2 linked regions of the Rattus norvegicus genome follow. The protein of the gene in region 2 purifies or fractionates together with the protein of the main gene of each other region. This does not show direct contact. Links are inferred from orthologs where the notes say so. Each region holds a gene or a part of one and is shown on either strand. Other genes may lie near its edges.

Evidence for each region.
Region 1: the proteins of Ldlrad4 (region 2) and Wwp2 purify together in Homo sapiens (affinity purification with mass spectrometry; 3 studies listed by BioGRID and IntAct, counting the BioPlex papers as one, with this or other methods). This does not show direct contact. The link is inferred for Rattus norvegicus from reciprocal best matches to the Homo sapiens genes LDLRAD4 and WWP2.

The regions. Positions count from the first base shown.
Region 1 is NC_086037.1:52,248,701-52,264,183, reverse strand, and holds the start of Wwp2 (NEDD4-like E3 ubiquitin-protein ligase WWP2), read right to left. Parts: upstream 7,622-15,483; 5' UTR 7,557-7,621; intron 1-7,556. UniProt on the Homo sapiens protein: E3 ubiquitin-protein ligase which accepts ubiquitin from an E2 ubiquitin-conjugating enzyme in the form of a thioester and then directly transfers the ubiquitin to targeted substrates.
Region 2 is NC_086036.1:64,080,105-64,095,107, forward strand, and holds part of Ldlrad4 (low-density lipoprotein receptor class A domain-containing protein 4), read left to right. Parts: intron 1-6,979; coding exon 6,980-7,134; intron 7,135-15,003. UniProt on the Homo sapiens protein: Functions as a negative regulator of TGF-beta signaling and thereby probably plays a role in cell proliferation, differentiation, apoptosis, motility, extracellular matrix production and immunosuppression.

The sequences.
Region 1 (15,483 bases), on a different chromosome or scaffold from region 2:
TACCAGCTAGTTAGAAAGCACCAAGCTGATCAAAAACTAATAATACTCATAGAGGGAAATTATCAGCTAATAGTAACAGATGGCAAAACAGCTCTCAGGACAAACACCATAGAGAATGCATGAGTAACCAAAGGAAGAGACCCGCCCCGAGTCAAGAGTCCTGCATTGCCTAGGGATTACCACTCCAATCACTGTTTCTAAACCAAGGGAGTGAAGAGAACAGGAATCTCACAACCTTCTAAACAGATTCTAATTGGAATCGAAGGAACAAAATCGTCCCTGAGAACAAGATGTCAGCTCTTAAGTTATGAAGGTCAAAAGCTCACCTGGGCCAGGCTGATGAGATGGCTCCAACAAAAAGGTGTTTGTTGGCAACAGTGACGATCTGCATTCCATCCCACATGATAGAAACAAAGAGCAACTCCTGAAAGTTGTCCTGTGACCTCCACATGTGTGACATAATCTGATCATAATCTGACTTGATGTTCATGAATCCACTATCTTCCTAATGAAAACTTCAGATCCCAAGACCAAGACTGGAATCTAAGGGTCACCCATTGTCTTAGTTAGGGGTTCCATTGCTGTGAAGAGACACCATGACCATGGCAACATTTAACTGGGCTGGCTTACAGTTTCAGAGGTTTAGTTCATTATCACCATGACGGGAAACATGGCAGCATTCAGGCAGACATGGTGCTGGAGGAGCCCAGAGTTTCTACATCTTGATCCATAGGCAGACAGGAGGAGATTGGCTATGTTTCACATTGGGCATAGGTTGAGCATTTAAGGCCTCAAAGCCCCACCTCCACAGTGGCGAACCTCCTGTAACAAGGTCATACCTCCACATAGTGCTACTCCCCAGGGGCCAAACATTCAAACACCTAAGACTATGAGGGCCAAACCTATTCAAACCGCCACACCCACCCACTACAAGGTTCCATTTGTGTTAAATCTATAAGATAGCAGGCTTGGTAAAGCTGGTATTTTAAACTTTAAAAACCTATTTACTGCCCTGCCTGCCATTCTCTTTCTATCCTTGGAGGCTCGTAAACTGATTGCCAACCCAGAAAGTCAGAAATCCCAGAAGCTGGCACTTGGGCTGATTTCAGACGTACTCCAAGACAGCCATTGGAAAACAGCCTTCTCAACTAGAGCAAAAGAACCCTCAGCTTGTTTTCAGAAGGGCCTTTCTTTAACACTAGCACTTGTGAGGCAGAGGCAGGAAGATCCCTTGAGTTCAAAGTCACCCTTGCCTACATAGTGAGTTCTAGGACAGTCAGGGCTACATAATAAGACCTTGTCTTAGCCAGGAGAGGGTGGCACACAATGTTAATACCAGAACTTTAGAAGCAGAGGCAGGTGAATCTCTGAGTTCAAAGCCAGCTGGATGGCCAGGGTTATACAAAGAGAGAGAGACCCTGTCTTGGAGGAAAAAAGTGTGTATGTGTGTTGGCGGCGGGGGGGGGGGGGGGGGGGTGTCATCTTTATATGAAAGAGAGACCCAACTTCCCTGCAGTACTTAGGTGGTCTTTACACACGGCCCAGTGTTGACGGAGACTTACTCTACAAGTTCAAGCTCAACAGCAACATTCTTCTTGGACATATATTTACACTCCTCTCTGGGTGACCTAGTCCAGTCTCAACTCCAGGCTACACAATAACAGCTGCCATGTACACATCTCCTGCTCCTGTTCGCCACCAGACTTCCTCATCTAACTGCCCCAGCATCTTCTCCTGGTTCATAATAGGCCTTGTACAATCAATGTGAACAAAACTGAACCTAAGCCCTGGCTCCCCCCCAGTCTCTCCCTATGCTTTTGTTTACTGAGACAGGGTCTTATGTAACCCAGGCTGGATTCCACAGGATGATAACCCTGACTGAACTCTAATCCTCCTCCAGTCTCTGCCTCCTGAGTGCTGGCATTACAGATGTGTGCCACCACAGCCTACTTATGCCGTGCTGGGGATCAGACCCCAGGCTTTATGCGCACTACACAAATACCCTACCAACTGGGCCACATCTCCAGCTCTTTTCCCTCATTTAACGACAACTCCATTTTCTCCCTGTTCATATCCAAACCTTGAGTCACCTTTGCCTGCTCTCTCCCTCTCACATTCTATACCCAAGTCCTCATTCGCAGATCCTCCTGGCTGAGCTTCAGAGTATGTCCCAGTGCGTTTTCCTGTGTGACAACGCCCTCCTCATACATCTTTTTGCCTCTACCCTGGCTCCTCTTTCTCCTCCTCATAACAATCCCTGTTGAAAGGCAGGACAGTATCCACTCCTCAGCTCAAATGCTTCACTCATCCTGTGAAAACCAGCATTCACACAAAGGCCTACAAGGCTTTCCCTGACCTGCCCAATGTTCCCTCTCACACCCCAAACCCTTATGAACTCATTCTCAACACTCACTTGGCCTTCTCTAGCCACACTGTGTTCCTGGCTGGTCCCCAAACCTGTCAAGGTGTTTCTCCTTCCAGCCATTTGATCTTGCTTAGCCCTTCGCCTGGACTGCTCTACCCACACTCAGTCCTGTGCTCTATGCCTTCTCCCCTTTGGGATCTTCAGACAAGAGCCAGCACACCCGTAATCCTGGCACCCAGGAGGCTAAGGCAGAAGGAATATCAATTTAAAGCTAGCCTGAGCTACAATATAAATTCCAGAAAGTCTGAGCACTGACGAAGTGTGAGACCTGCCCCCATAACTCCCCAAAAAGCAGTGCTAAGATTATAGGTATGTGTCACTACATACACCTTGCTGAAACTCATTATATTGTCTTTAACATAGTAAATATAAAACATTACCATTCATAGCATATATTTATAGATTACATTTATATGATTTTACTAGAATATAAAAACATCAGATGGAGTCAGCAGTAGTGGCACATGCCTTTAATCCCAGCACTCCAGAGGCAAAAGCAGGAAGATCTCTGTGAGTTTGAGGCCTGCCCAATCTAAAGAGTAAGTTCCAGGGCAGCCAGAGCTACACAGAGAAACCCTGCCATGGGAAAAACAAAAAGCCAAGCAAACAAAAATCAACACAACATTGAAGTTTTCATGTTGACTCTACAAATTCTGATGTATCTGACATTCATGACTGTACCAAGGTTTGACAGCCTATGTGATCAGTGGCCTCCATACTGAACAGTAAGACTCCAGAACAATGCCTGTAATAAAGTAAGGGTGTACAACTATCTACGGAGGAAGACTATTTTCCAGGAAAAGACAACTCTGACAGAAGCTATGGTTTGAATAGGTCCCCAAAGTGTATGTTGTGGAAACTTTACCCTAGTGCAACAGGGTTGGGAGGAGGAACCCTTACGAGATTAGGTCACGAGAGGCCTGGTGCTCACAGAACACATGACAGGGCCCTAGTCCTATGCATATGCTTGTTCTCTTGCATTCTACGATGGAATGACTTAGCAAGAAGGCCCTCCAAAAGTAGACCCTCGGGGTTGGGGATTTAGCTCAGTGGTAGAGCGCTTGCCTAGGAAGCGCAAGGCCCTGGGTTCGGTCCCCAGCTCTGAAAAAAAGAACCAAAAAAAAAAAAAAATAGTAGACCCTCTGTCTTAATTAGGGGTTTACTGCTGTGAACAGACACCATGACAAGTCTTATAAAGGACATTTAATTGGGGGCGCTGGAGAGATGGCTCAGCTGTTAAGAGCACTGGCTGCTCTTCCAGAGATCCTGAGTTCAAATCCCAGCAACCACATGGTGGCTCACAGCCATCTGTAATGGAATCCAATGCCCTCTTCTGGAGTGTCTGAAGACAGCGACAGTGTACTTATATACATAGAATCGATTTCTTTAAAAAAAAAAAAGACATTTAATTGGGGCTGGCTTACAGGTTTAGAGATTCAGTCCGGTATCATCAAGGTGGAAGCATGGCAGCATCCAGACAGCATGGTGCACGCAGAGCTGAGAGGTTTACATCTTCATCTGAAGGCTGCTAGTGAAACTCACTTCAGGGCAGCTAGGGTGAGGGTCTTAAAGCCCATGCCCACACTGACACGCCTACCTTACTAAGGCCCCACCTCCTAATAGTGCCATTCCCTGGGTCAAGCACATATAAACCATCATACCCTCCATCTCAGACTTCCCAGCCTCCACTCTCAAGACAAACTTCTACAGTTTATAAATCACTCTGCAATGCACTGAGGCTGTACACAAGTATAGAGCAGGCAGGGTTTTCTCAGCAGTATAGGTTACATTATACATTTACAATCTTTTCTCTGACCCTTTTCTGTTTTTTTTTTTTTAAGATTTATTTATTTCATGTATGTGAATATACTCTAGCTGTGTTCAGACACACCAGAAGAGAGCATCGGATCCCATTACAGATGGTTGTGAGCCACCATGTGGTTGCTGGGATTTGAACTCAGGACCTCTGGAAGAGCAGCCAGTGCTCTTAACCACTGAGACATCTCTCCAGTCCTTTTCTGTTTTATCTACATGTCTTTTCTTTCCTTTTCTTCTCGTAACCCACATTATACCTGAACATTTGAACTTCTAGCAATCCTCCTGCCTCTACCTCCCAAGTGCTCAGATTACAGGTATATTTGCCACTTATACCCAATCTAATAGCATACTTTTTATATTTGAAAACTATTTTAAGATGAAATTTTTATCGCTTCTATGAACTAAAAATACTATGTCTAGAAATAAAAAACCTAGGTGGTAGAAAAGGTGGCTCATCAGGTAAAGGTATCTGCTACCACCTGACAACTGGAACTCGATTCCCAGGATCCATATAGTAGGAGAGAACCAACTCTTGCATTTGTTCACTAGTTCTAGAATCCAACATCAGGGCTTCAGCAAGCCTCAGTTTCTTCATCCTCGAATGAAGCAATGCAACCTTCATAGAGCTGGCATTGAATGAGACACTGGGCCAGGCGCAATGGTGAGTGAAGGCCTGGACCCTAACTCTTGAAAGGGAGAGACAAGAGAATCTATCCTAAGTTCCTCGGCAACATAACCAGTTTGAGGCCAGCCTGAGCTATAACTTACCTTCTATCAAAAAGCCAAAAAAATCACAGTTTGACCCTGTCTCAAAAGAGAGAAAGGGGGGGTTGGGGATTTAGTTCAGTGGTAGAGCGCTTGCCTAGCAAGTGCAAGACCCTGGGTTCGGTCCCCAGCTCCGAAAAAAAGAAAAGGGGAAAAAAAAAAAGAGAAAGGAAGGAAGGAAGGAAGGGAGGGAGAGAGGGAGGGGAAGGGGAGGGGAGGTTGGTTGAGCACAGTTAATAGTACAGTTTTAATTTCAGCACTTGGGAGGCAGAAGCAGGTGGATCTTCATGAGTTCTAGGCCAGCCAGGTCTACACAGTAAAACTTTGTCTCAAATAAATAACCAAAAAAATAAAATTAAATTAAATTAAATGAGAATCTGGTATCAGTTCTTTGCAGATGGAGACATAGTCATTAAGTGAAAGACTAATATGGCCTGAGTGGTACAGGCCTCAAATCCCAACTACTGTGGAGACGAAGGCAAAAGGATCACAAGATCAAGGCTTGCCTGAGCTACGGGAATTTGAAATCACACCAGACAACTTACTGAGATCCTGTCTCAAAAGGAAAAAATAAAAATTACAAAAAAGAAGGGCTATGGAGCTCAGTGGTAAGGTACAATGTTCAACAAAAACCAAAAAAAAAAAAAAAAAAAAAAAAAAAAAAAGTAAAAGAGACAGACAAGCCAATTGAAGCCTTTTCCTCATGGTTTTCCCATAGACCAATAACACTGAACAGAGAAAGTGACAGAAAACTTATGTTCAAACCCTTTGTTCACTACATACAGCAAGCAGTGTGACCTTTAAAACCTCATTTATTTCTCAAACACTGACCAAGTACTCCTAACACAGAGCTAGTAGCCAAAGAAGTCATGTAATATTGGATCACAGCCCTTGAATGATTTACAGTCCTAGCAGGAAGAAGACAATAAACAAGGAAGAAAAACAAAATGAAGTGTCAGGTTGGGACTAACGAGATACAGGTAAGAGCACCTATAGCTCTTCCACAGGACCAAAGTTCAGTTCCCAGCATGCAAACCCAGAGGCTCACAACCACCTATATCCCTAGCTCCAAGGGACCCAACGCTCTCATCTGGCCTCAGTGAGCTCATACACACAGGAACACACACACACAAACAAAATTACATTTTTTTTTTTTTTTGGTTCTTTTTTTCGGAGCTGGGGACCGAACCCAGGGCCTTGCGCTTCCTAGGTAAGCGCTCTACCACTGAGCTAAATTCCCAGCCCCAAAATTACATCTTTTATTTTAAGTCAACTCTCTCAGTTTGTTATCTATGAAGTGGGAATGACTTCTCGAGACTGCTACAAAAATTAACTTTTAAATGCTTGTAATATATCCCCAAGTCTTCAACCCCTAATGTATTAATGTTTTTCCCCCCAGCGACCTTTGATTCTGGTTCTTGTCACTGTACCATTTGAACCCTGACACCTTCGTTGCACTCATAAACTTCATTTCACTTCTGCAAACCTTAGCAAATGTGAAGGGGAAAGAGGATGTTTGTTTATTCAGGTCTTACTGGTTAGCCCAGGCTGGCCTGGAACTTGAGGCCATCTTCAGGACTCAGCCTAGAGGACTAAGAATCTTAAGATGGGTATTTTAGCCTCAAAAACTAAGATCTAGGTCACAGTTCTAAGGAACACAACAGAAACTTCTCAGTCACCCCACCTAGTCACAGCTGGTCAAGATAAGCAGTCACACAGTAAAGGAAGCTGCATAATTTAAGCTTTAGAGGAAACGTATCAAAGCGATATGGGAAGACTTTCAACGGTCCAAGACTTCAGCAGTCAATGCATTGCTGCGGTAACGCTGGTCCATGTCGCTGCTGACAACAGTGTAGGTTAAAAGTCTTGTTATGATCACAGCAAAGCACCTACACGTCTTTAATTTTTTTTTTTTTATTTTTGCCTCGAAGATGACCCGATCTGGGAGCATCTCAAAGAAAGATGATAGGAAGGGCTAAGCTCCCAACAAGTGGAAACCCTACCCAAACAGGGCAAAGTGGGTGTGACCAGAGTCAGACTACCAAGACTCAGGGATCCCTCCTGAAGTTTAAAAACTAAACAGGACCGGTATCAAAGTCTCGGGTCGCCATCATCTTCAAAGAGGACGGAAGGAAGAGACTCTCAGAATGGGGTCCAGGCCGCAACGTCCAGATTTTTCTTCCAGTCTCTACTAGCCAGACGCCCACTCCCAGGCAGCCCCTTCCGGGGAGCATGCGAGTCTCCCCGGCCGAAGTCGGCCCCCCTTCACAGACGCGGCTCCTCCACACCGCAGGCGCCCAGGCTGGGGTCCCCTTCCGGAAACGCCAGCAACGGGCGACTCCCGCCGGGCCCCGCGCCCACCCCGCCCGGGCGCGAGTCGGGACACCCCTCCTCGGAGGCCGGAACCGCGCGCCAGGCCCCTCCCACAGGAAGCCGCCGCCCCCCGGCGCCCGCCCCGCGCCGCCCCCGGCCCCTCGCGCCGCCCGCCGCCCCTGGCTGTCCCGCGCCACCCGCTCGCTGCCGAGCCCCCAGTGCCCGCGCAACCTACCTGCCGCGGCCACACCAGCGGCGCCTAACTCCGCTCCACTTCCGCCTTCCAGCGCCCGCACTCAGACCGGGTCACGTGGGCGCGCGCGGTCACCTGACCCGGAAGAGGCTGGCCGGGGCGCGCAGGTGCGGACCACCTAGAGCCGGGCTGTGAGCATTTGACCCGGTGAGGGCCGGAGTGAAAGGACCACCAGGGCTATGCTGGAGCGGGCGTATAAAATGAGGGTTCACCGGTACCAGGGGCTTTATTTATTCCTTTGGAAGCAGGTAGAATTGTTTTTTCCCCATAGTACAGGTGGGAGAAGATCATCCGGTCAGTTAAGTCGGCAAATCTTGTAGGGGTTGCTGGATAAAAACCAGTACGCTCCTTACATTTGAATGTCAGATAAACCGTGTCACTATAAGCATGTCCCCAAATTTGCAAAGAATGTATTGACACCATAGATGTACGCTGGTCAAAACCTTAAGCATCTCGTGTAATTTTGACAGCCGGTGCCAACTATGTGCAAGGCCTTGTTCTCAGTTCTGGAAGTATAAATACCCTGGCCTTTGTAAGTTATCTGCTATTGTTCCAAAAAACAAAACTGGGAAGGGGGATGGGAGTGGGGCACGGGACAGGACACAGACGACATGACATCCCTTCAAAACTTTTCTCGAGTCCATAAGTGCCCCCATGGGGAATCAACTCCCATTATCTCCGTATATGCAGTAAACTGAACCTTATGAATTAGCAAACAGGGAGTCTATGTAACCCTGGCTGACCTGGAACCCAATGCTGTCCTTGGCCTCCTAATTCCTGGCATTGTAGGCGTACCTCACCACAGCCTGGACAGCAGAAACTTTCTGGGTTTTGCAAGATTGACAGTCGAATCTAACTGTCTGCACAGAACTAGTCAAGGGCGTTAAAACTGACCTGTGTTCCCAGCCATTTTGCTAACTTTCTGGTTTTTCTTTGGAACGGTCTTGTTTCAAGTGCTCCAACTAACCTCGAACTTTTAATTCCATTACCTCAACCTCTGAGTAGTTAGGATTACCAGCTTATACCATTGGGGCGGGAGGCGGGGGTGAGAGAGGAGACCAGTGGAGGCAGAGTTTGTAACCTAGGCTGGCATTCACCTCCCAGTTGATTGTTCAGCTTACAGATAGGTGCCATACCACCTGGCTTTTTGTTGGGTTTGGTTTTGTTAACTGAAATATTAAATTTTTTTTTCTTTTCTTTTCTTTTTTTTTTTTTTTCGGAGCTGGGGACCGAACCCAGGGCCTTGCGCTTGCTAGGCAAGCGCTCTACCACTGAGCTAAATCCCCAACCCCCATATTAAATTTTTATTACATTTTATTCTATAGATGTTTCGCTGGCATGTATACTGTGTACCAGCTGAGTGTCAGGAGCCTTTGCTGAGGCGTATCTACCAAAAGGAAGTCTTTATTAGCCACTCTGTGACGACACTAGGTGTTCAGGAGCCCTGTGTAGTATCGAGCCTTTCACAGGCCAAGGTTTTAAATGCAAAACTCATGTTCTGGGTTGACATACTCCAGTTAGCAGAAAGAGTCAGAAGCAGAACTACAGAAGCCAAAAGGCAAGGTTAGCACATTTAGAGACTCCCAGACACATGGACTTGGGTGGATTAGGTCTTTGTTTTCACTTTGGCAGCTGATGCTGTCTGTGTGCTGAGTTTTATGGCCTGAGTGGACTCCCACCATGGAGTCAGCTCTTAGCGAGTGAGTCAAATTATGGACTAAAGAGGGAGAAGTGGGCCAGGAAGTGAAGTGCACCTTTACTCCCAGCACTCAGAAAGCAGAAGCCAGTTATCTTTGTGAGTTGAAGGCCAGCCTGGTCTACAGAGCAAGTTCCAGGACAGCCAGAGCTACATAGAAAAGGTGTTTCAAAACATAAAAAGCATAGTTGGTCCTAAGGACCATTAATTTTACTGAACGGGATACACTGATAGATAACTGGCCTATCATTCAGCCAATCAGAATGAGAATTAGAGGTCCATCCAGTGCTGACAGCAGAGTAGTTAGCCAGGGGACCAAGAAAACAGACTTTTTTTTTTTTTTAAGATTTGTTTAAAAAAGAAAAAAAAAGATTTGTTTATTTTATGAGTACACTGTAGCTGTCTTCATGCACACCAGAAGAGGGCATCAGATCTCATTACAGATGATTGTGAGCCACCATGTGGTTACTGGGAATTGAACTCAGAACCTCTGGAAGAGCAGTCAGTGCTCTTAACCTCCGAGCCATCTCTGCAGCCCAAGACTGGTATTATTTGATTTATGTCATTGTCTGTTTTTCTTTTTGAAGTTTTCCTCTACCATGACAAGACTTTTTCCTAATTACTCTTGATCAATTAGCATAAAAATGACAGGTGTCCCCCAAAGCCATACATAGTTTCCTTTATCTCCTGAGAAGTATATCCAAGTCACACTTTTATCAGTCAATGGGCTGACAGTCTGATTTCTGGCTGGGGATGATGAACTCTATCCTAGGATCCCTTCCTGTGGTATTGATTGCCCTGGTTTCCTCTGTTTTCCAAAGGCCAGAATCTTCCTTAAGGGATTTTTCAGGAAGTCTAAGTTTCACAACTCTAATTTTTGCAATGGAAACTCCCTTGTTCCAGGCAACCAGAGGGCCAGGCCACAGGGCTTGCATGGAATTGTAAACTCTATATTCCTATCTCAAAAGATAAATTCCCATATCTTTTCTCTCTCCAGTTCAACCAGACTTTTAAAATGGGCATCAGGAAGTGAACAAAACGGAATATGGCTTGCTGGCCTGTAGCCACTTTAGACATCACCTCTCCTGTATCTGCCTTTTTCAGTTCCCAGAAGCAGGCACGAAGGCAGTGGGGGTCGGACCTTGACCATGTCTATGTGCACAATGAAGTTCTCTATCTATTTCTGATTATTAGTTGAAAGGTTTTGGGCTCTGAAAGCCAGACCATTGTCAGACCCCATTGCTAGGGGAGGCTAAATCAAGGGGCCAGTTCCTGGAGGGGTTTTTACCTGCTATTTGAGCAATTTCATTCTGGGTGAGGAATGCGTCTATCCATCTGAAAAGGACTTGTATCCTCCCCTGGTAGCTCGATCTCAGTGAAGTCAATTCTCCCAGAGTTTGCCGGGGTGTTGACGTCTCATTCAGAACCCTTTCTGAATAAGGGATCTCTGTTTTGGATTAATTGAGCACAAGTCTGGCATCTGGCTGAGACATCTTGTGCCAGGCTGTCTGAGCAACACAGAAAGTTTTGTCAGGCTACTCCAGATGAGTAGCCTTGTGAAGGTCAATTACCAGAGTCCTGCCAGTTGTTTCTGGAAGAATGATCTTTCCCTTTGGTGTCCTCCACCTGCCTATAGGTTTGAGCCATCCATTTCTTCTTTATTATGGAGGCAATAGGCCCCACTGGTCTTAGGACCATTTGTTGGATGGCCAACAGCTGGCAGTGGAGGCCAGCAATTCATAGGGAAAGCCAAAAAATCTCTAGGAGGGCCAAGATTTTCCAATGTCCTTTTTCATCCAGCAGTGAGAAGATCCTCTTTCGCTATAGATCATACTGTGGAATGCCCAGCAGTAAAAGCATTGTGACGGTCCATGTATATGATAGCAAACTTTCTTTACACCATGTGAGAGCCTGGGTCAGAGCAATCAGTTCTGTTCTCTCGGCTGAAGTCCTTGGCTTGGGCCAAAATCATGTCAGTTCAAGTACAGCTCTCTTATACCTGGTTCATCTTTCATCTTGTGACAGTCACGGACAATTACCTTCATTATCAGGCAAGAGGGTAGTCGAATTGATGGCCTTGGATTCTCACTTGAGGGTAGGCCAGGAGTAGGGCCCACACAGGCTTTAGACAGCCAGCATTCTGGTGTTCCTCAGAGGAGGGTCTCAGTCACATGGGACCTGGGGGTTATAAAGATCCTGACCCAGAGTTAACTTGTTTGTAACTAGCAGTAGCAGTAGCTGCCACAGCTACAGGGTCCAGTTGTTCAACAGGTTTGTCACAGGGTTCCCACAACCCCAAAGTTTGGGTTAAAATCCTTCTTGTCTTTCATTTCCTGGACAAACAGATGACAGATGACAAGGTTTTGAGACACCCGGAAGTGCTAAGGCTGAAGTCGGAGCTGTTTTTAAACTGCAAATACTCTGGCTTAGTCTCAGTCCATATCAGGGGCTCAGTGCCTACATTTGTGCTGGTGTAGAGTCCTTGCTATTTCCACAAGCTTGTATTCAGAGACAGCAATACTTAGCTGAACTCTCCAGTCTGTCTCTAATGGGATCTGAAGGAAGGATGGCCGAAATCCTACTCTGAGACAGACTCCTTTGCCTCTCCTCAGCTGGTAGCTAAGATAGGTAGCCTCTGATATACAAAGTGTGGCTTTCTTAGCTGACATTTTATAGCCCAAGGTCTGTACAGTCCCTCAGTGGCCCTTTTATAACCTGTTTTCCTGAGAAACCTCTGACAGAAAGGCAGGATGTCAGCATTTATTGCCTCATCAAACAGGGAATTTTTAAATCTTTGGAGCAACCTAGTCCATGTAAGTTAGCTACTGTAACCTCTCTCTGAATCCGTCCATTTAAAAGCAAAGATGAGTTGACTCACCTCACCAATGGGAGGCTGAAGAATGTGTGGTTCAGATCCAAGAGAATGTATACCTTTTCCTCTGGAAGAATCAGACTCATGAGAATCAGAGGTCCCAGGTTTCTTCATAAGCAGAGGAGGTATGTTCCAGGATGACTAACAGAGCACCAGGATGCCTGTCTCCAAGCCAGGAGAGACTGCAATTTCCCTTTTTGTTTCCAGAACCACTGGCTATTGTTTAATTTGCTTAGGGGTAGCTGAACTGGTTAGTCGAACAGTTAATTATAGGAACCTGGTGTTGGGCCAGTCCTAGGGGGTTGGTTTCTGTCCCTACCCCTATGAATCTTTGTTTTCAGTAGGAGAGATAGTCCCACTGTATCTTTTGATTGGAGGTAAAGCTCTCAGCTAGGAGATAGATATTATCTGACAAAGGGTGAGACACCAAGACTTTGCCGGGTATCTGTAACTCTATGTCTCACCATCAGAGAAGGTGAGGTGGCTTTCAGTTGATGCAAAAGGTCCTGTCCATTCAGTTCTCTGTTACACACATGACACTACCTCCATGCAATGGCTATTCCTGGTTGCCAACTTGACTATGTCTGGAAGGAACTACAGTCCAGAAATGGAGGCGCACATCTGTGATCAGGATCTTGAAGCAGGACACAGGCCTTTAATCAGGTCTTGAGGCCAAAAGATACACCTTCAGTCTGGGCCACACCTTCTGCTGGCAGCCTATGTAAGGACAGTAGCAGGAGGGCTTGCCTTGCTAGCACATCCATTCCTTCGCTGTTCCCTCACTGGCATCAGAGCTTGAGAGAGAGAGAGAGAGAGAGAGAGAGAGAGAGAGAGAGAGAGAGGGAGAGAGAGAGAGAGAGAGATTGATTCATTCCATAAGTCTGGAAAATCCTAATACACTCCAGCAACTGGAACCTGCTTATACTTTAAAATTTTTCTAACTTCTATAATTTCTTTAATAACAAGAGCTGACTGGGTGACAAAGGAAATCTTTTTTTTTAAGATTTATTTATTATATGAGTACACTGTCGCTGCCTTCAGACACACCAGAAGAGAGCATCAGATCCCATTACAGATGGTTGTGAGCCACCATGTGGTTGCTGGGAATTGAACTCAGGACCTCTGGAAGAACAGTCAGTGCTCTTAACCACTGAGCCATCTCTCCAGCCCCAATCTTTTTAATCTTTAATCCTTCTAAAATGGACCTAGCAAAAAAAAGTTTTGTAAGTCTCCATGGTTAGTATTACCCAGAAGGGAAACTCCTTGTCCGGCATCGACCCCCCTGCCAAGACCAGGGTAGTTTTCCTACTTTCTTCAGAGAATGGCGGGTTCCCAAATCAGTAGTTTAAAAGCAGACGAATGAAAGAGAAAGGAGCAGGACTTTCTCTTTTCCTTCAGGATCAGCCCAGGGGAACTTTTCCCCTTCCCAGGGGCTGCTTAGAGCAGGCATGGGATGGGGGAAAGGGAGAGAATGCTCACCTGGGGGAGGAACTATTTCCCCTTCCCTTCCCTTCCTGGGATGCATCCCTCCTGTGTGTGTGTGTGTGTGTGTGTGTGTGCGCGCGTGACCCACACTGGTGAGCAGAAGTCAAGCAACAAAACAACAAGTTTGGTTTGGTTTGGTTTTGTCTTGTTTGTTTTTTGTTGGTGAATAGTTTTGTGGCTTTGTTTTGTTTTCTTGGGGTTTTTTGTTGTTTAGTTTTGGGTTTGTTTTTTTTTTGTTGTTGTTTTGTTTTTGTTTTTGTTTTTTTGTTGTCATTGTGGGGTTTTTTGGTTTTTGATTTTTTTGGTCACTTGGGTGACCTGGCAGAGCCAAGAGGATTTGGGTCCCCAACAGGAGAGGCACAGGTCTTAAGCCAGAGGGTTCTCTTCAGAAAAAGCCATTGGTTAATACAGGGAAACAAACACATGTCATATCTATATGCTAAAAACCCACTGAACAGAATGGGAATCCAGTGACATCACACATGGTTCCTGGACACTAGTTAAGTGGCCACTCCTGACCCCTCCTATGTGTCCGAACGGAAAGCGCCTTAACCAGACTCACCTCTGGAGGTGACAGACCAGGTGGCGTTCTAATTTGCTCCCTTTCAGGGTTGCAGTGTCAGACTCCTATGAAGTATTAGACAGGGATTGATCAGAAGACTTGGGGATCTGGAATTCAGGTTGTGCATTCCCTAGGAGTTCCTAGACTACCATAATCGTACCCACTCCTAGAGTCTAAAACCCACAGTGTCTTAAGGTCAGGTCTCTGGGAACCTCGGTGGGATCTCCAAAACTGTGGAGAATCTTCGACATGGGTTTAAGCCAACAGAAAGTTTTTTTTAGCTAGCCTGTGACTACACTAGGTGTTCAGGATCCCAGTGTAGCCCTGAGCCTTTCTCAGGGTGAGGTTTCAAGCACAAAAAAACATGTCAATACTTTAGTTAGCAAGAACTGTTAGCCAGAAGCAGAACTGCAGAAGCCAGAAGGCAAGGTCAGTGATTTCGAGGCTTTCCTGGAATTATGGGCTTGGGCGGATCGGTCTGTGTTTACTTCTTGGCGGGTGGTGCTGCGCGTGCCGAGTTCTGTGGCCTGAGCGGCACTTCCACCATGGATATAGTTGCCTTAAGGTCTGGAGCCCAGTTACACCTTTGGAAGCCAGAAGAGTATGACCTCCCCAGGAACTGGAGCTATCAACTATCATGAGATGCCACGTGGTGCTGGGAATTGAGCTCTCAAGTCCCAGAAATAGCAGCCAGTGTTCTTAATGGCTCTCCAGTCAGCTTTTATTATCATTATTATTAAAGACGTGATCTTACTCTAGCCTCAGCTAGTGTGGAACTCATTGCATATCTGGCCTAAAATTCTTAGTGATCCTGCAGCCCCTGCTTCCCCAGTTTTGAATTGAAATTGCAGCCTTTTTTGGGGGGGGTGTTTTTGTTTTGTTTCATTTTGTTATTTTTTTAAAAAATATTTATTATTTACTTATTCTATACAAGTACACTGCAGCTGTCTTCAGACACCATAAGAGGGTGTCAGATCTCATTACGGAGGGTTGTGAGCCACAATGTGGTTGCTGGGATTTGAACTCAGGACCTCTGGAAGAGTAGTCAGGGCTCTTAACCACTGAGCCATCTCTCCAGCCCCCATCTTGTTCTTCTAAGGCAGGAGGATCCCATTATGTAGCCCTGGCTGTCCTGGAACTCACTTTGTAGACCAGGCTGGCCTTGAACTTACAGATCCACCTGCCTCTGCCTCCCGAGTGAGTACTGGGATTAAAGGCGTGTGCTGCCACTGCCCAACTCTTTTTTTTTTTTCCCCTTTTTTCTATTTTTCGGAGCTGGGGATCGAACCCAGGG
Region 2 (15,003 bases):
AAGATAACATTTGGAAGAAAAGAAAAAAAATGTATCTCTTTTAATGCGATTGGATTGTTGACTAGTTTTTTTTGGGGGGGTTATCCAGGTAATAAGAGATAATGGGAAACAGAAGTGGACCCCAAGAGCGATGGGGAGCTAGAGTGGAAGGCAAGCAGGCTGCCAGCCAGCACGGGCTTAGGAGCACACACTTGTAACCGTGGCTAAGACAGTTACATGTGCAGCCGTATATCTACTGACACCTTCTTAATTTATAATGTGGAGGTGAGGTGAGGGTGGATTTTAAATGACTCCTATAAGGGAGGAATATGATTTTAGGTACTTTTAGTTCCCATTTATAGTAAGGGCAGGGGATGGATTTTTTTTAAAAAGGTTTCTAACTCTTATATTTTTACTCCCCCGCTGCTTTGTTTTGTTTCTGTATTTAAAGAAAAAGTTGTCAGTCATCTTGGATTGCAACTTTTTTTTCCCCTGAAGAGATCAAGATAATCTAGGTTGTGATGTATGTAAAGAAAAGGAGCTGTGCTAGGTAGGAGCTCTGGCCTTTGATGCTACTTTGCACAGAGTCTGTGTTCTGGGGATTCCTTACTCAAATCCCTGCCTTCTGCTCCCAGCCTACCTGTGCCTTGGCAGGTGCCTGGTTGGGACTGAAGGTGGAGGGATGTGTCCTGTTATCCTGGATCACAGGATACCACTTCCAATCTTGTGATGCAAACTGCCTGTGTGCATACAGGGATATAATGGGGATATATAAGCTGATACCTTAGAGCAACCATGAGCCTTCTTCTCTGGTGACGATCTGTGCTGGGTTCTTGGTGCAAAATGTGAAAATCTCTGGCAAAATGTTAGCGTTATTAAAGTTGTTGGTGAGTGTTTGCCAGAATATGGTTCCATGAGAGATGCCGTACAAACAAATTAGCCAACAGAAGTTCCTGCTTTGGACCTGATCACCTTGTATGCAATATGCAACAATCTGTAAGCTACGGGGGACAAGATAGATAGCCCAGGGCATGGTGTATGAGAGAAGGTCAGAGGGCAAACCTTAAAAAGGAGTGTCAGTACAGAATGGGACCCGTGCATATAGGAAGCAGCGTAAAGGTCAGGAGCCTGTTATCAACGGGTCAGTGAAGAATTTATAATGAAAGATACAGCCAGCAGTTGCAAAAACTTGGCCACCTTTGTAGTTCTGTCTTTAATTTCTCCCTTTGGTTGTTTGCCATTAAAAGATAAATCGGAGTAACCGACTGACCACAAAGGAACATGAAATTTTAAAAATGTAATCTAATCATGAGCTAGAGGAGCCCTCATTGTTTTGCCACCTGAACTTCCAGCTGTAAAGTCATTTTTGTCACAGAGCCTGAATGTCGCCCCTCGACTGTGGTGTTTAATGAGTGTGAATTTTTGTTCAACCATTCAAATTGTCAAGAGTATTTTTATACTAATAGTTCCCAAGCTCAAGGCAATTATAGGCTAAATAGATTCCAATTCCTGCCCCATCCACCTTCCTGCCACCGTGCTGTAGGTTCTAGGATTTTGGAAAGAATTTAGACTATAGGAACATCCGCCATCTACAGGTGTCCTAGAACCATGCAAGTCATCCACCCCTGTGGCTGTCATCATATCAGTACACCTGTTTCTGCTGAGCAGGACAGACACAAGAAGAAATATAGACACAAGATCATTGCACAGAAACTGAACAAGACCAGTCCAATGGGAAAAGTTGTCCTCTGTGCCTCGAACCATGGCAGGGAGTTAGAAAGGCTTGCTGGGAAGGAGTTTGCTGCCAAGAGGGTGGGATTCTGTGGCAGGCCGGTTGTCTTGTTCCAGGCTCTGCGTCCCCAGATTGAGCAGGAAGGAAAGTAAACTAGAGGGGCTGCTGTTGGTAAGAATGGGAGTCGAATCACTCAGAGATCTGTGAGGAGTGGCTAGTCCTGGCAGTGACGTAAGTGTTTATCATGGCCGCTTTCCCACATGCTGCCAAGGCGTCTGTTTTGCTGGTGAAAGGAAGGGCTCACCACAGAGCCCACGCCGTGTTCTTCCATTATAGGATGTCTGTGAGGGAATATGTCACACACCTGGAACTTAAAACTAATTAAACATTTAGAGACCTTGGTTTCAGCAGATGAGGATGTATTTCACCAAAGAGAGGCTGAATGGAAGACGGTGCTAGCCATCCCACAAATAGAAGTGAGTGTTATATTAGGAACCCAAGGGTAGTACAAACACATCTCCCCAGAGTTCATTAAAAATAGTCCAGACATTCACGCCTCCAGTATGATTCAGTGCAGGGCCCCATTGGACCAAGGAACCGACTAGCATACTCCAAACAGACTGTTCCCGCAGTCCCCCCCCGTACAGCTTAGAATTTCTTGAAGTTGTCACCATACAGATACAGATGTCGTCATCACTGTCGTCATCGACACTGTTTTTACGATAATAAACCAAAGCACAGTAATCCCTTCCTGTAAGCTTTGAATTCATTACTGAATCTCTGGTGTTTGGGTGGCAATGAGTCACACACTGCACCTTGAACTACAGTCCCATAAAAGGAACAGGAGCTTGGGAAACTGGTTTAACCTCCAGTCCTTTACTTGTGTGGCCTTGCTTCTGTTGATACCCATAACTGTTGAGACTGAGGGAGACCTGACCAGGGGGCTGTGCTCAGAATCCATAGTGGGTTAAATGAAAAAAAAATGGCAACCTTAAAAGTATCCTATTACCTTTCAAAATGCTGCCACTCCTGTGGGCTTAAGAAGTATTCCCATCTCAATATTTCTTTCAAAATTTCATTCTCTTCTCAGCGTCCCTTTCCTAACTGACCCCTTGGAAGCAAAACCAAAAACATCTTCTGGAGGCATGCTTGCTGGGCTTCCTTACATCATACCCTTCTGATCCCCCACCACATAAAGAAAAGCTGTGCAGAATTGGGGCAGAGGCTCCTGTTTAAAGTAATGGCATGACTGCCGTGTAGGGGAGGGGGAGAGGGAGAGTGGAGCTTGGAGGGAGGGAAGGTGCAGAGGGCACCAGAGAAAGGGCTTTCTACAGAGCAGGACCCTGAGCTTTGCTCATCCCTGGGGACCACCCCCCCCCTTTAATGGTTTTCACTTTGGTTTCCCCTAGCACTGAGTATTTTTAATCTTCATATTTTCCCAGTTTTAGTTTTCTTGCAACTTAAATGGGAAAAGTGATCTGTCCTCATTGACTATTTTGCCCCAAGTTCAAAGAGTAGGTAGACTTTACAATATTTTAATTTGATGTTATCTCACGCTCGCATATGTATGATGGAGTTGTCTGTGTCAGCATGCTTGCACCACGACAGACATATGGAGGTCAGAAGACAACTTTGAGGGGTCATTTCTTTCTTCCGGGGACTAAGCTCAGGTAGCCGGGCTTTGGTTGAACCTTCTCTCCCACCCTAGCCTGTTCCTAGGGTGTTGTGGTATGGGTCCTAAACCTAGAGGCCCTGATGTAAACTGGGTGGGGCTCTAAGATCCAGACACATCCTTGCTGCCAGTCACGACTTGTTAAGATTCTGGCCTTAGGGACCGGGCACCCTGGATTTCGTTCTTGTCTGCTAGAAGAGCTGCCTTCCATGCCTGGCCTAAGTGGCTCAGATTCTCAATCAGTCTCCTATTGCCCCAGGGTGCCCCTGGGTATTACTGTTAGGGTGATTGCCTTAGCCCATGTCCCACTTCCATGGAACCTATTTATGCTTCGAAAGCCCTTGGGTAAACCTGTTATCCCATCCTACTGCATGTGTCTCAGTTCCCTGACACTTTGGTACCTGTGGACTCCTGATGTTGCTGGGAAGCTTTGGTGCCTTAGATGTCCCTGCCAGGGCTCTGAGCTCATGTTTGAAACCCCAGGGCAAGCTGTGTGCAGCTGCAGACAGCTCAGCAGGGGCAGGGCACTCCAGTGAGTTTATAGGGCAGCTTTCCAGGAGAGCTTGGGATGGAGGCTGACACACTGGTCTTCACGAAAAGGGAGAAGGTGGGACTCTTTCTTCCAAAGGACACATTGCTATGCACTGTCTGTGATGGAGATCTTGCTCACCCTGGCTTAGGTTTTGAAGTAATTGCATTATTAGGTCATTCCATTCGGTCGTTTCATTTGGAACACCCTGCGCTGTCTTGGGCCCAGGGTATAAAATGCAACATAAATAAAAATCTAAACATGGAAGAACAAAGTAAAAGTTTTTCAAGGGAAAGAAAAGTTTGGGGAATGTTAGCTGCAAAGAAAAAAACTGAGAGGATCATTGGTACCATTAAAAAAATATATATATGTGTGTGTGTGTGTATATGTATATATATGTGTGTGTGTATGTGTATATATGTGTATATATGTGTATATGTGTATATATGTATATATATGTATATATATGTATATATATATATATCATCTGTAGAGAAACTTCCAGAAGAATTTACAGAAATAAGAGACAAGGAGAAAGTGTTTGCAACACATGGAACAAAATCTTGTAGCCATGAAATATAAATATTTCTCATAAGTGCATCAGAAATTCATGAAAAAAAAACTACAAATAGACTAATGCAAATTAATTATAAGAAAGAGAAGCATAAATTACCCTTAAGTCCAGAAAAAGATCAGAAATTGCCGGCAATTGGGGGAGCCGCAATACCAAATCAAAATAAATAGACGTAAAGTAAGGTTTGCTTTTGATGCTTGATTCACACAGGGCCTTGCTGTAGTAGAGGAGGCTGGCCTTGACTCGGTCCGCCTTGCCCTCTCCCAGGCTGAGCAGGTTTGTACCCGGTTTGGTTATCTTGCCCGGCAACATGCACAGGTTTGCCTATTAAATGGGTGTGAGTGGCAAGGTGCTGGAGAGCTGGCTCATCCGTTAGGAACGTGTGCTCTTGCAGAGGACCAAAGGGCACCCAAGTCTTATAGCTCACAGCCACCTGTAGATCAGCTCCAGCGTATCCAGTGCCCTCTTCTGACTTCCGCAGGCTCCCAAACTCACAGGCACACAACCACATGGTCACATACACATAATTCTCTTAATTAAATATTGAAAAAAAGAAAAGGGCAAGTTTCCAGAGTCTAGGGTGTAGGCAACAAGCTTTTCATAAAGTGGTTCTCACACCACATTGTTAAATGGTCGTCCATTTTAAGGAACTGACAAGTTTGTGCCGGCACTCACATATACACATAGCATCCCTTTCCTTCTCCTTACCAACCCCCCCAATAATTTGGTCATAATTAAGAGGAGGCAGTATTTATTTAGTAGACATACTAACCAGACCAACTTCCCCACCAGGATGGCATGGAGTGGTTACAGTCAGGGAGGGCTGCCGAGCTTCGGCCGCATTAGACTTCTTTCTTCTATAATATTTAAGCCTTCAGTCTTTTGAAGGATTTTAAACACTTCTGTAATAAGATCATTTTCAGAGAGAATTCATCCACCCAGAGAGGCTTATGGAATTGCAAAAACACAACTTGGTTTTCTTTGCTGCGTTCTCACAGGCTTCCGTACTGAGGAAAATGTAGCGTAGAAAGAGCCGTCAAGTGAAGGGTTAACCAAGGGTCCTTGTGGCTGTCTCCTGGTTGTAATCCCTTTCTTTCTGCTCAGGGTCTGATAAGCAACTCCATCTTTTGACAAAAGGAAACACACTGGTAAACTTGAGGGCATGCTTTAATCTGAAGGGCAGTTTGTGACAACTCCGTTGTTTGAGAGAGAATTGCTTAAGATCCCACCTTCATTTCTAAGCTCACGTTGGCCTGAACAGACCGAACTTCCTGCCTTACATATTGTGTATGGAGGTGGCTGTCCTTGGGTTTTTGACTGGATGTGTGGCATGGATTCCCAGGACCCTACAGGTGCTCTCATTGTTCCCTCTGCACCCGCAGCCAGTAGAGGTCTGTCTTACCCGTTATGGCTGGCCTCAGGGAGTCATGACCCTTGGAGTTGTGGGCATGAACACCTTCTCTGGGCCTGAGTATGTTCCTGAGTCAGTCTTTGTTCTTCCTATTCCTGTTTACCTACCTGCCGGGCACCACCATGTGCTAGACGCTGAGAACGCAACGTAAGCCACAGCATTCTTGTAGTCATAGTATCATGAGAAACACTGACTGTATGTACACTCTGCTCAATATGGTGGCCGGAATGCTGAATCAGGGAGGGACTCTGGGCATGCATATACATGGCATATTAATGACCCATTCGTCACGTTAGTGTTGGAACTGGGAACCTTACCACTCAATCACTGAGCCTATAGGATGGGGATATGCTTTCTAAGTCACTTACAAAGGCATAGCGCCCCCCCCCCGAAACAGAGGCAGAAGCTGGCCTGTTTATATTTGTTTTCTCTCTAATGCACAGCTCCTGTGAGTGGCACTCTTGAGAAAGTTGGCTCAACCAGAGAAGACGAGTTCATTTTCTGGAGAGGTTATGTAGGTGTGGTAGTGGGGGCAGCCTCAGTTCAGAGTGGAGAGATGGTGGGTGTTGTCTGACAGGAAGGGAATTGAAGAAACAGTCTGAGCTGTCCTGAGGTTGGCCCAGTGTGAACGGGTGCCAATTCAACAGCTGCCTGTGGTGAGCTCACAGGGCTGACCTTGAACTCCACTATGTCAGTGAGGAAAGTTGCAGCCAAAACCCTGGCGGTCTGGTAGACCGGGCCAGCAAAACATTTCCTTAAAGCCTTAAGCTTGAAGATCAGGTCTTTGAACTTCACCAAGCTGAGCAGCAGAGATCTGTGGGACAGGGCACTCCCAGAACCTCCCTTTTGTCTAAAAAGTTACAATACCAGAGCCCTGCGTGTGATCCACAGTATCTGCAGGCAGAGTTCAAGCCCAGCCATGCACCACTTTTACAATTGCCTTTTCTTCTCCTCCAAAATGGAGCCATAGCTTCTGTCTTCCCTCGAGGGGTATCTAGGAGGGGTCATGACTGCCCGAAGTTACGGGAACCATAGTCAGGAAAATGGCCGCTGTTCACAATCCTCCTCCTCCTTCCTTGCAGCGGAACTGGAGTTCGCGCAGGTCCTCATCATTGTCGTGGTGGTGACGGTGATGGTGGTGGTCGTCGTCTGCCTACTGAACCACTACAAAGTCTCCACACGTTCCTTCATCAACCGCCCCAACCAGAGCCAGAGACAGGAGGACGGGCTGCAGCCGGTAAGTGTATGGGCCTGCGCCATCTGGAATGCCCCTGGGCTCCATTCTGGGGTTGCAAACCCAGACAGGGTATAGTAAAGGCTAGAGGGTGGGATAGTCCGCCTGTCGCTGGTCGGCTCACTGAGGTACTGAGGTAATGCTGCGGTGTTAGCGGTTTGGGTTGACGGTTAACCTGGAAAGGTGTGCTCATTGTGTGCACACATTGTGTGTGTGCACACAGCTCAGTGACCTCTCACGTACAGCCAGGGTCCAGCCAGGAAAGTGACTTAACGCCCTCCAACAGCTGGCTCAGGTCTTTCATGTGTGAAAGTCTCCGCTGCCTGATTATTGGCCATCAGCCCTAATTAGTTTTGCTAGGCGTGGCCTCCACACCCATGCTTTCTCTCCTGTGTCTGGTTTCATTCGGGCAGCACCACGTTGTATATAGAGATCTTTGCTTGGATCAGGTCCTGGAGTTGGTCCAGGGATAAGTAATGTCCTCATACATTAGCAGATATGGCTGCAACTCTCGGATGTGAACCAGCTGGAGGGGACAGTGGGATGCGTGCCTCCTTAGATGGAACAGGGTGAACCGGGCGGGTGGGGTGGCACAAGCCATCCCGTGAGGCGCCTCAGTCCGTGCTCTTTAGAACTTTCTATCTCTTGCCCTCAACTTCTTGCCTCTCCTCGTAAAACAATGTGATGTATGGCTAAGCCATAACCAAGCCTGGGAGGCCAGGGGCTGCTGGGACATCATGTTCTCCACCTATTTTGTAATCTGTTCATAAATCCTGGTGGCTTTTAGCAAGAGACTTGGAAATAGTGCACTTAGCTGAGTTTAGATTCTTAATGTCGGTGTAGGACACAGGAGCATCTAGTTTTCCTCTTCCACCCTTTTCTGGGTAGTGGGAGAGACATTCTTTGTAGAATGCCCTTTATGAGAGACCAGGGATTCCTGGTCACTTCCTAAGGGAGGTCTGACTTAGGAGAGGCTGTTGTGAGTATGGGGTATGACCATCGTAATGGGCAGTGTGGACCTGTGCCTGGGACAGCTCTAAATAGGGCAGCATCTTGCTTGCCCGGGGAGCCTAATGGCTTGGGGGTTCTTGGGGGCAGAGGTAAGCACAACAGAGAACAGGAAGGGTGTGTGTGTGTGTGTGTGTGTGTGTGTGTGTGTGTGTGTGTGTGTGTGTATGTGTGTGCGTGCATCTGTGTGTGTACGTGCGTGTGCCTGTGTGTGTGTGTGTGTGTGTGTGTGTGTGTGTGTGCTGTATTCACCTCACAGTCTGGGACAGTGGTGGCAGACAGAATTTGACCTAACAGTTCCACTTCCTGTGAGCTTCCTCATTTTCTCTTGCTGCCTTCCTCAGTCTCTTCTGGTCCCCAGTTTTGCTAACCAGTTCCTCTGGTCCTCCTTGACATCTTTATATACCACAATGAAACTCTGGGTATCCCCTGGTATCCACCTCGGCACTACGGATCACTGTCCTCTGGTACCCACACTTTCCATCCTGACACTACGGATTCTTGAGGCAGCTCAGATCTCTGAAGAGAGAACAAATCCAAAGTCCTGAGCTCAAAGAAAGAAGACGAGGAAACTCTCATTACAGCAGCCATTATAGGGCCACACAGGGTCTTTGCTTTAATATAACTGTTGTGGATACCAGCCACTCCTTGGCAGATGTGGTACAACTCTTACATCACCACCAAACAATAGGCCGATGCACTCAGGTATGTATGGATTACCAGAAATACTTCAGCCTGGGTGTTAGCTCTACTCCCTGAGTAAGACTTAGCAGTTTCTAGCTCTAAAATGTCCCATCTTCCCATCTTGCACTTTGTGCTCCAGGAGTCCCTAGACACTCAGGGTGTCTTGCCTTGAAGGCCCCTCCCTTGGTCTTCTTCTTGCACTTGCCTAGACTGAGGGTATCCACAGCCTCTGAGTGAATCTGTGTCTCCCTGGTGCAGCCCCAGCCCCATGCTCTCCTGCTGTCACTGCCTTTAAGCTTTGTGTCCTGGCCATATGTCCTGTGTTTACTAACCAAGAGGTATAGCAGGAAGACAACTTGACTGGGGCAAGAAACAAAGTTCTTGTGTGGTTTTACCTGATGGTCTACCCAGTGCTGCTCTCTGTGGGAGCATGGGGACCATGAGCCAGGAAGTGGTAGCACGCTGACTGGCAGGAATGTGGGAAGTTGACTTTGAGAGGTCCTTCTAGGATGTATACTGAGTAGGAACGAAGACGGTCAGTAATTGGTGGGTTTTATCTACCGAGGGGGCTCTGTGAGTGGAGGTAAGCTGTGTGCTGAGATCTGGGTTCTACTCCAAGGTGTAGCCAGGAGACAGGCATGCCTTTAGTCCCTGTGTTTATAAAGTGACCATGAGAAGAGTGTGGGCGTTCACTCCTGAGCTACCGTGAAACTTCAGTTTTCTCTGGTGACCCACAGCTGAGTCCCGTTCATCCCCAGGGCTTCTTTCCCTGTCAACCACACCTGTAGATATCACCCAGCTGAGGGCTAGGCTCTGAGGGAATGTCTCATAACATTCAAGGTGTGTTTCCACACTGTAACCAGGGTGCTTCTGTCTTAGACTGGGGTTCTGCTTTCTCAGTTGGACTATCAGCATGGCTCATGGTTCTAACAGGAGAGATAAAGTAGATAAAGAGGAAACAGACCTTCCTTTTCTCCTTACACACCTGAGTTTCTGTCCTTTCTACCCCACCCCTAACTCCTTCCTTGGATTGTTGCTTCTCTGCGGGGGCTGAAAAAACAGATCACTTCTTATCCATCTGACTCTCAGCTAGCGGACATCCTAGAGAGGCTGAGATGGTGTTCCAGCCGAGGACATCGTGCTACACACATTGTCTGATCTTCCTACAGTGTGCTTCAGGGGCTCTACAACGGGCAACCCAGAGAAACAGACTCTTGTGCTGAGTACCTGTCTAAGCACACTGTCGCCAAGCCCACCAGCTCATGAGCACACCATCTCCTGGCTGCTTTGGTGTGCCCACAAAGAGAAGGGCACACTTCTCTTGTATCACCCAGGACATAGCCATTGGGGGACTCTGCCTGCAGACACTTTCCCTAGCCATTTCCATCTACCTCTGCCCCCCTCATTCTTCCCTAGACCTCATCATAGCCAAGATAGCAAAGTGACCATGCAAGAGCAGCCAGCTGTCATCCTTGGCTAAGGTCCAGGCTCTTTTACCACCCTCTTGATCATACTGGGGATGCTTAAACCAATCCCATCCCCATGTTTATGAACTGCGCACGAGAACCCATTGTCTCCTCTACTCCCATGACTGGCCAGTCTGGACAGCTTCTAGTTGGCTTTTCCAGGTTGCCTCCTTTGGCCTCTCAATATGGAAGTCTGTGTTCACCGTCTTCCTGCCAAGAGCTAGCAAAAGCCTGGCAGTCACATCATAGAGAAGAAGATACTCTGCTTTTGGTCCCCTCACTTGACCAGGTTGCCCCTGGATGGGATGTTGACTTGAGGAACTTGGGACAGAGTGAGGATGGATGTGTATGTCCACTTGCCTCTGCCTTGTGCTACCATATCTGTTATCCAAACCCTGTTCCTAGATCCTGAAGCACCCTTGTTTAGTGAGCGCCCACAGCCCCAGGATCACCTCTCTTGGCAGTGTGAGCAGCAAGTACCTCAAACACCCTGCTACTTGGCAGCACGAAGGTGCAGAATGTTCCTGCCAACCTTTCAGTGGGGAACCTCTCATTGTTCTGAGACTGAGTGTCACAGAGACAGTGTTCCAGGTCTTTCGCCTCTGTATTGCAGACCCATGTGGGATCTTTACTGGGATTATGATGCTGTGTTCATCTTAAAAGGTTGAGAACGTGTGAGGAGCCTCTCTTCTCATGAGCGGGCATTCGCTTTGATCCAAAGGAAAAGCCAGGGTGAATTGCTGACCTTCTTAGATTGAACTGTAAGTTTTCCAGCCTAGTGTCAGTCGTCGGAGAGGAAATCCTAGACTAAGGAATTGTCTAGATCAGATTGGTCAGATTGGTCTGTGGGGGTTGTCTTGATTATTAACTGATGCAGGAGGACCCAAAGTGGGAGGACCCATGATGAGTGGTACCATTCCTAGGCAGATGGTCTGGGGATATATAAGAACGTTAACCGAGCATGAGTATGAGAGAACCAGCAATGGTATTCCACCATGCTTCAGGCTCCTAGCTGAGTCCCTGCCCTAACACTTCCCTCAGGGATGGATTGTGACTTGGAAGTATATGGTAAATAACTCCTTTTCTTCCCTGCATTGCTTTTGGTCAGAGTGGGTTTTTCTTTTCTTTAGCCACCCCCCCCCCCTTTTAACAGCAGCAGAAATCAAACTAGAAAATGCAGAGAACAGGATCTCAAAAACTTGACTGACCTTGATTCCTGGGGTCAGTCCTGTGAGACAATACTGGCAGTCCAGCTGTCCTTGGCCCATGAGTCCTATCTTTCTGGACAGCACAATCTTGAGGGAGTTCACAGAGATGAGACTTGCTGCTCCTACCTCCATAACTTTCCTTTCTCCCATTGCCAACAACCCTCGTCCCTTCATTCATTCTTTGAGACACTGTAGGTTTGAAGTATGAGGAGGGTTCCGTGTGCCTGAGGCCTGTCAACCTCCCTCTGAAATGTGTGTGACAGGGCTGCCTGGCAATGGGATTATACTGGCCAGTGAAAGTCACTGAACAAAAATGAAAACCGGTAGCTCAGGCTTAAACGAAAAGAAAGTCAAAGGTTCAAATGATGACCGCAGCAGGAGATAGATTTGTGACACAAATCTCATTTTTGTTTTTCTCAAAGCAACCTCAAAATGTTTACAAGTACCTTGTTTGTGTGGCCTGGGGCTGAGAGACCATCTAGATTGTTTCCCATTATCCTAAACTACCAAAGAATGAGGAAACAATAAAAGGCCCTCGGTCTTCCAGACAGGCTAGTGGTTCTCAACCTTCCTAACGCTGCGACACTTTAATGCAGCTTCCCATGTTGTGGTGACCCTTCTACACCAACAAAAAACTTATTTCACTGCTACTTCATAGATGTAATTTTGCTACTGTTATAAATCATAATATGAATATCTGATATGTGATCCCCAAAGGAGTCATGACCTTTGTTGTTGAGAACTGTGGGTCTAGGCTTTCCCAGCTGGCGAGGTCTGAGATGTCCTTTCTGACAGCTGCACCCCCCGCCAGGTGGGTCCTGCTAACCACATCCGGACAGCCCAGGGTTTGTGGTCAGTAGGCATGCAGAGGTGGCTGGCCTCAGAGCAGGGGCGAGAGTTTTACTCAGATTGAGTCTTGTGAGATAGTATACATCGAGCCACTATTGACTTTGTAGAAAGATGAATTCCAGTTTAAGAGTTAATGAGAAGAGTCACAGCTCACATTTCTTCATTACCAGCTGCTACAGGGGCTTGGTCAGTTGTGTGGAATCAGATGTCTGGGGATCTGCACAGAGACTGCACCAGCAGTTTGGGAAGGATAAGCATCTGCCTCCCAGTTCAGCTTTACTTGGGTCCACTTTTTCTGTCTCCCTGGTTGCTGGGAAAGAGAACCAATCCTTTGTAGGCCTCTGCCAATACAATATACTCCTCAACCCCCAAGGACCTTGGTGTGGAGTACGTCTGCACACTGAAGAAATTACATATGTGACCTGGAACATGGTTGGTGCCTTCCATTTGCCCCTCTGACAAAAGTTGACCCAGTTGTTAAGAATTGGGCGACATCAAACAACTTTTGGAATTTAAATCTCCTCTGGTGTGTTGGGCCACCCTGGCCTTGCAGGATGGGCCTGAGAGTAGATGCCCCAGGAGATGGGTCATTGCACCTCTGTGGTTGTAATCCTGTCTTGTTCCTGAGTCCTGTAGCAATACCATTGTTACCTACTGGTTTGCAGCCTTGTGGTAAATGTGTGTGTGTGTGTGTGTGTGTGTGTGTGTGTGTGTGTGTGTGTGTGTGTGTATGTGTGTGTATGTGTGTGTAGGGGCATGTTAAAAAGTGTCTTATAAAAATTTGTTTATTTTTATCATATGCGTATGAGTGTTTGCCTGATGTATGCCTGTGCATGGCTGGTGTGGGTAGAGGTCAGGAGAGAGGGAACTGGAGTTGTGAATGGTTCTGAGCCACCATGTGAGTACTCAGAATCAACCCCTGGGTCCTCTGCAAAAGCATCAAGTGCTTTGAACCACTGAGTTCTCTCTCCAGGTCCTCAATGCTTACTTGTTGACAGGATCTCACACCATAGTCCAGTCTGGACTTGAACTCATGCCCCCCCTGCTTAGCCTCCCAAGTGCTGGGGTCACGGCCATGAGCCACCACACCTGGCATGAGAGCTGGTTTTTTGTTCGTTTTTTTTTTTTAAAGAAAACAGTGTTTAGCACAGGCAGGAAACAAAAAATGAATTAAGAGGGCTTCTGGTTTCCAGAAACCAAAAACATCCCACATGCCATTGTGAAGGTAGAGACCAGTTTTGCTCCTTCAGGAGTGAAGCTATGTCTGTGTCAACAAAGCACTTCCTGTGACTGCCCTGACAGACAGGCTGTTTAGTCATCTCCTTGGGACAGGGCCTTGAACTCTGTGGCTAATGCCCGTGAGTGCGAACAGAGGACTGACTGTGGGCTGCCTGCAGCTCCTCCTACCAGCAGCAGCCTCTGGAAGCCTTAGGAGTAAAGGTGGTTGGAAGACAGAAGTCCTGGACAGTAGATAACAGCCCCAGTATATCTCAAAGCTCCAGGGCTCGGCCCTGACTAGCAGACCTTCCAGGACGTGCCCAGTATGGCAGGTGCCTTCATTGGCTCTCCCTATGCAGAGACTCTAAGGTGGGCACCATACCCATAGGGATATTGGAAACCCACAGACTATACTCTGGTCCAGAGAAGGGCACACGGAGTCAGGGGCTGGCTACCGCATCTCCATTTCCCCCCCAGTGAGACCAAAGAATGCCTCCTTCCTTTCTACCTACTCTAGACTGTGTAAAATCTTCAGTACAAAATGAAGGAAGAAACTATTTTTGGCAGGGCCTTTACTAAATGATGCCACTGTTTCTGACCTGCTGGACTAAAACATGTGGCAGAGGATGGTATGGTGGAGTTGATGGGATGGAAAATGATGTCAGGGGTGGCTTCCCCAACAGTGATATCCCTGAACCCTTACACCAGATGGAACTGGCGTCCATATTGTCCAGCCTCTAGTCTCCACTCTCTACGCACAGAGCAGACGGCAGGGCAGGGCACTGTTTACCCCATATTCTCAACACTAACTTCCTCTTGCCAGTTTACACTGTCTGGCAGGAAGAGCTCCGGCTGCCAGGTGGCGGCTGAAAGGGTTCAGTCCTTTGGTCTATCTGTGTGTAGCCCTAGAACAGATAACTTCAAAGTCACAATGTATCCCTTCAAGTATGGGGAGGTGCAAAGCAGAGAGAGTGGTGAGGATGCAGCCAGATCCCCTCCCAAGTAGCTTATCTGGACATTGCTAATAGCCTGGTTTTACCTTGAAAGCCGAGTGAGTAACTCACACCCTCCTCTTACAACTCCACCGCTCAGAATAGTCTTAGAATTACCGTTAGGGTTTATAGATCTTTAGTTTTCGTAGCAAGGAAAACTTTTGTCTTCCTCATCTCCATGATAGCAAGTCTTCACTCTTCTATCTGTTTTCTGAGGATAGATCGGAATTTTGGTATCACCCACAATACATTCAGAACAAAGTCCCGTGGATGACTGAGTGTTGGTGTAGGGTACCAGGCTGGGGCAAAGCCAGGTGACTTGGGAAGATGATGCTCTCCAAGTCACAAGCCGAGCCACACGAAGATCAGAAAGGATCCACAGCAAAATGAGGCCGCTTCCGGAAGGCAATGGAGACAGTGGTGTACCTCAGCCGCATTGTCCCATGA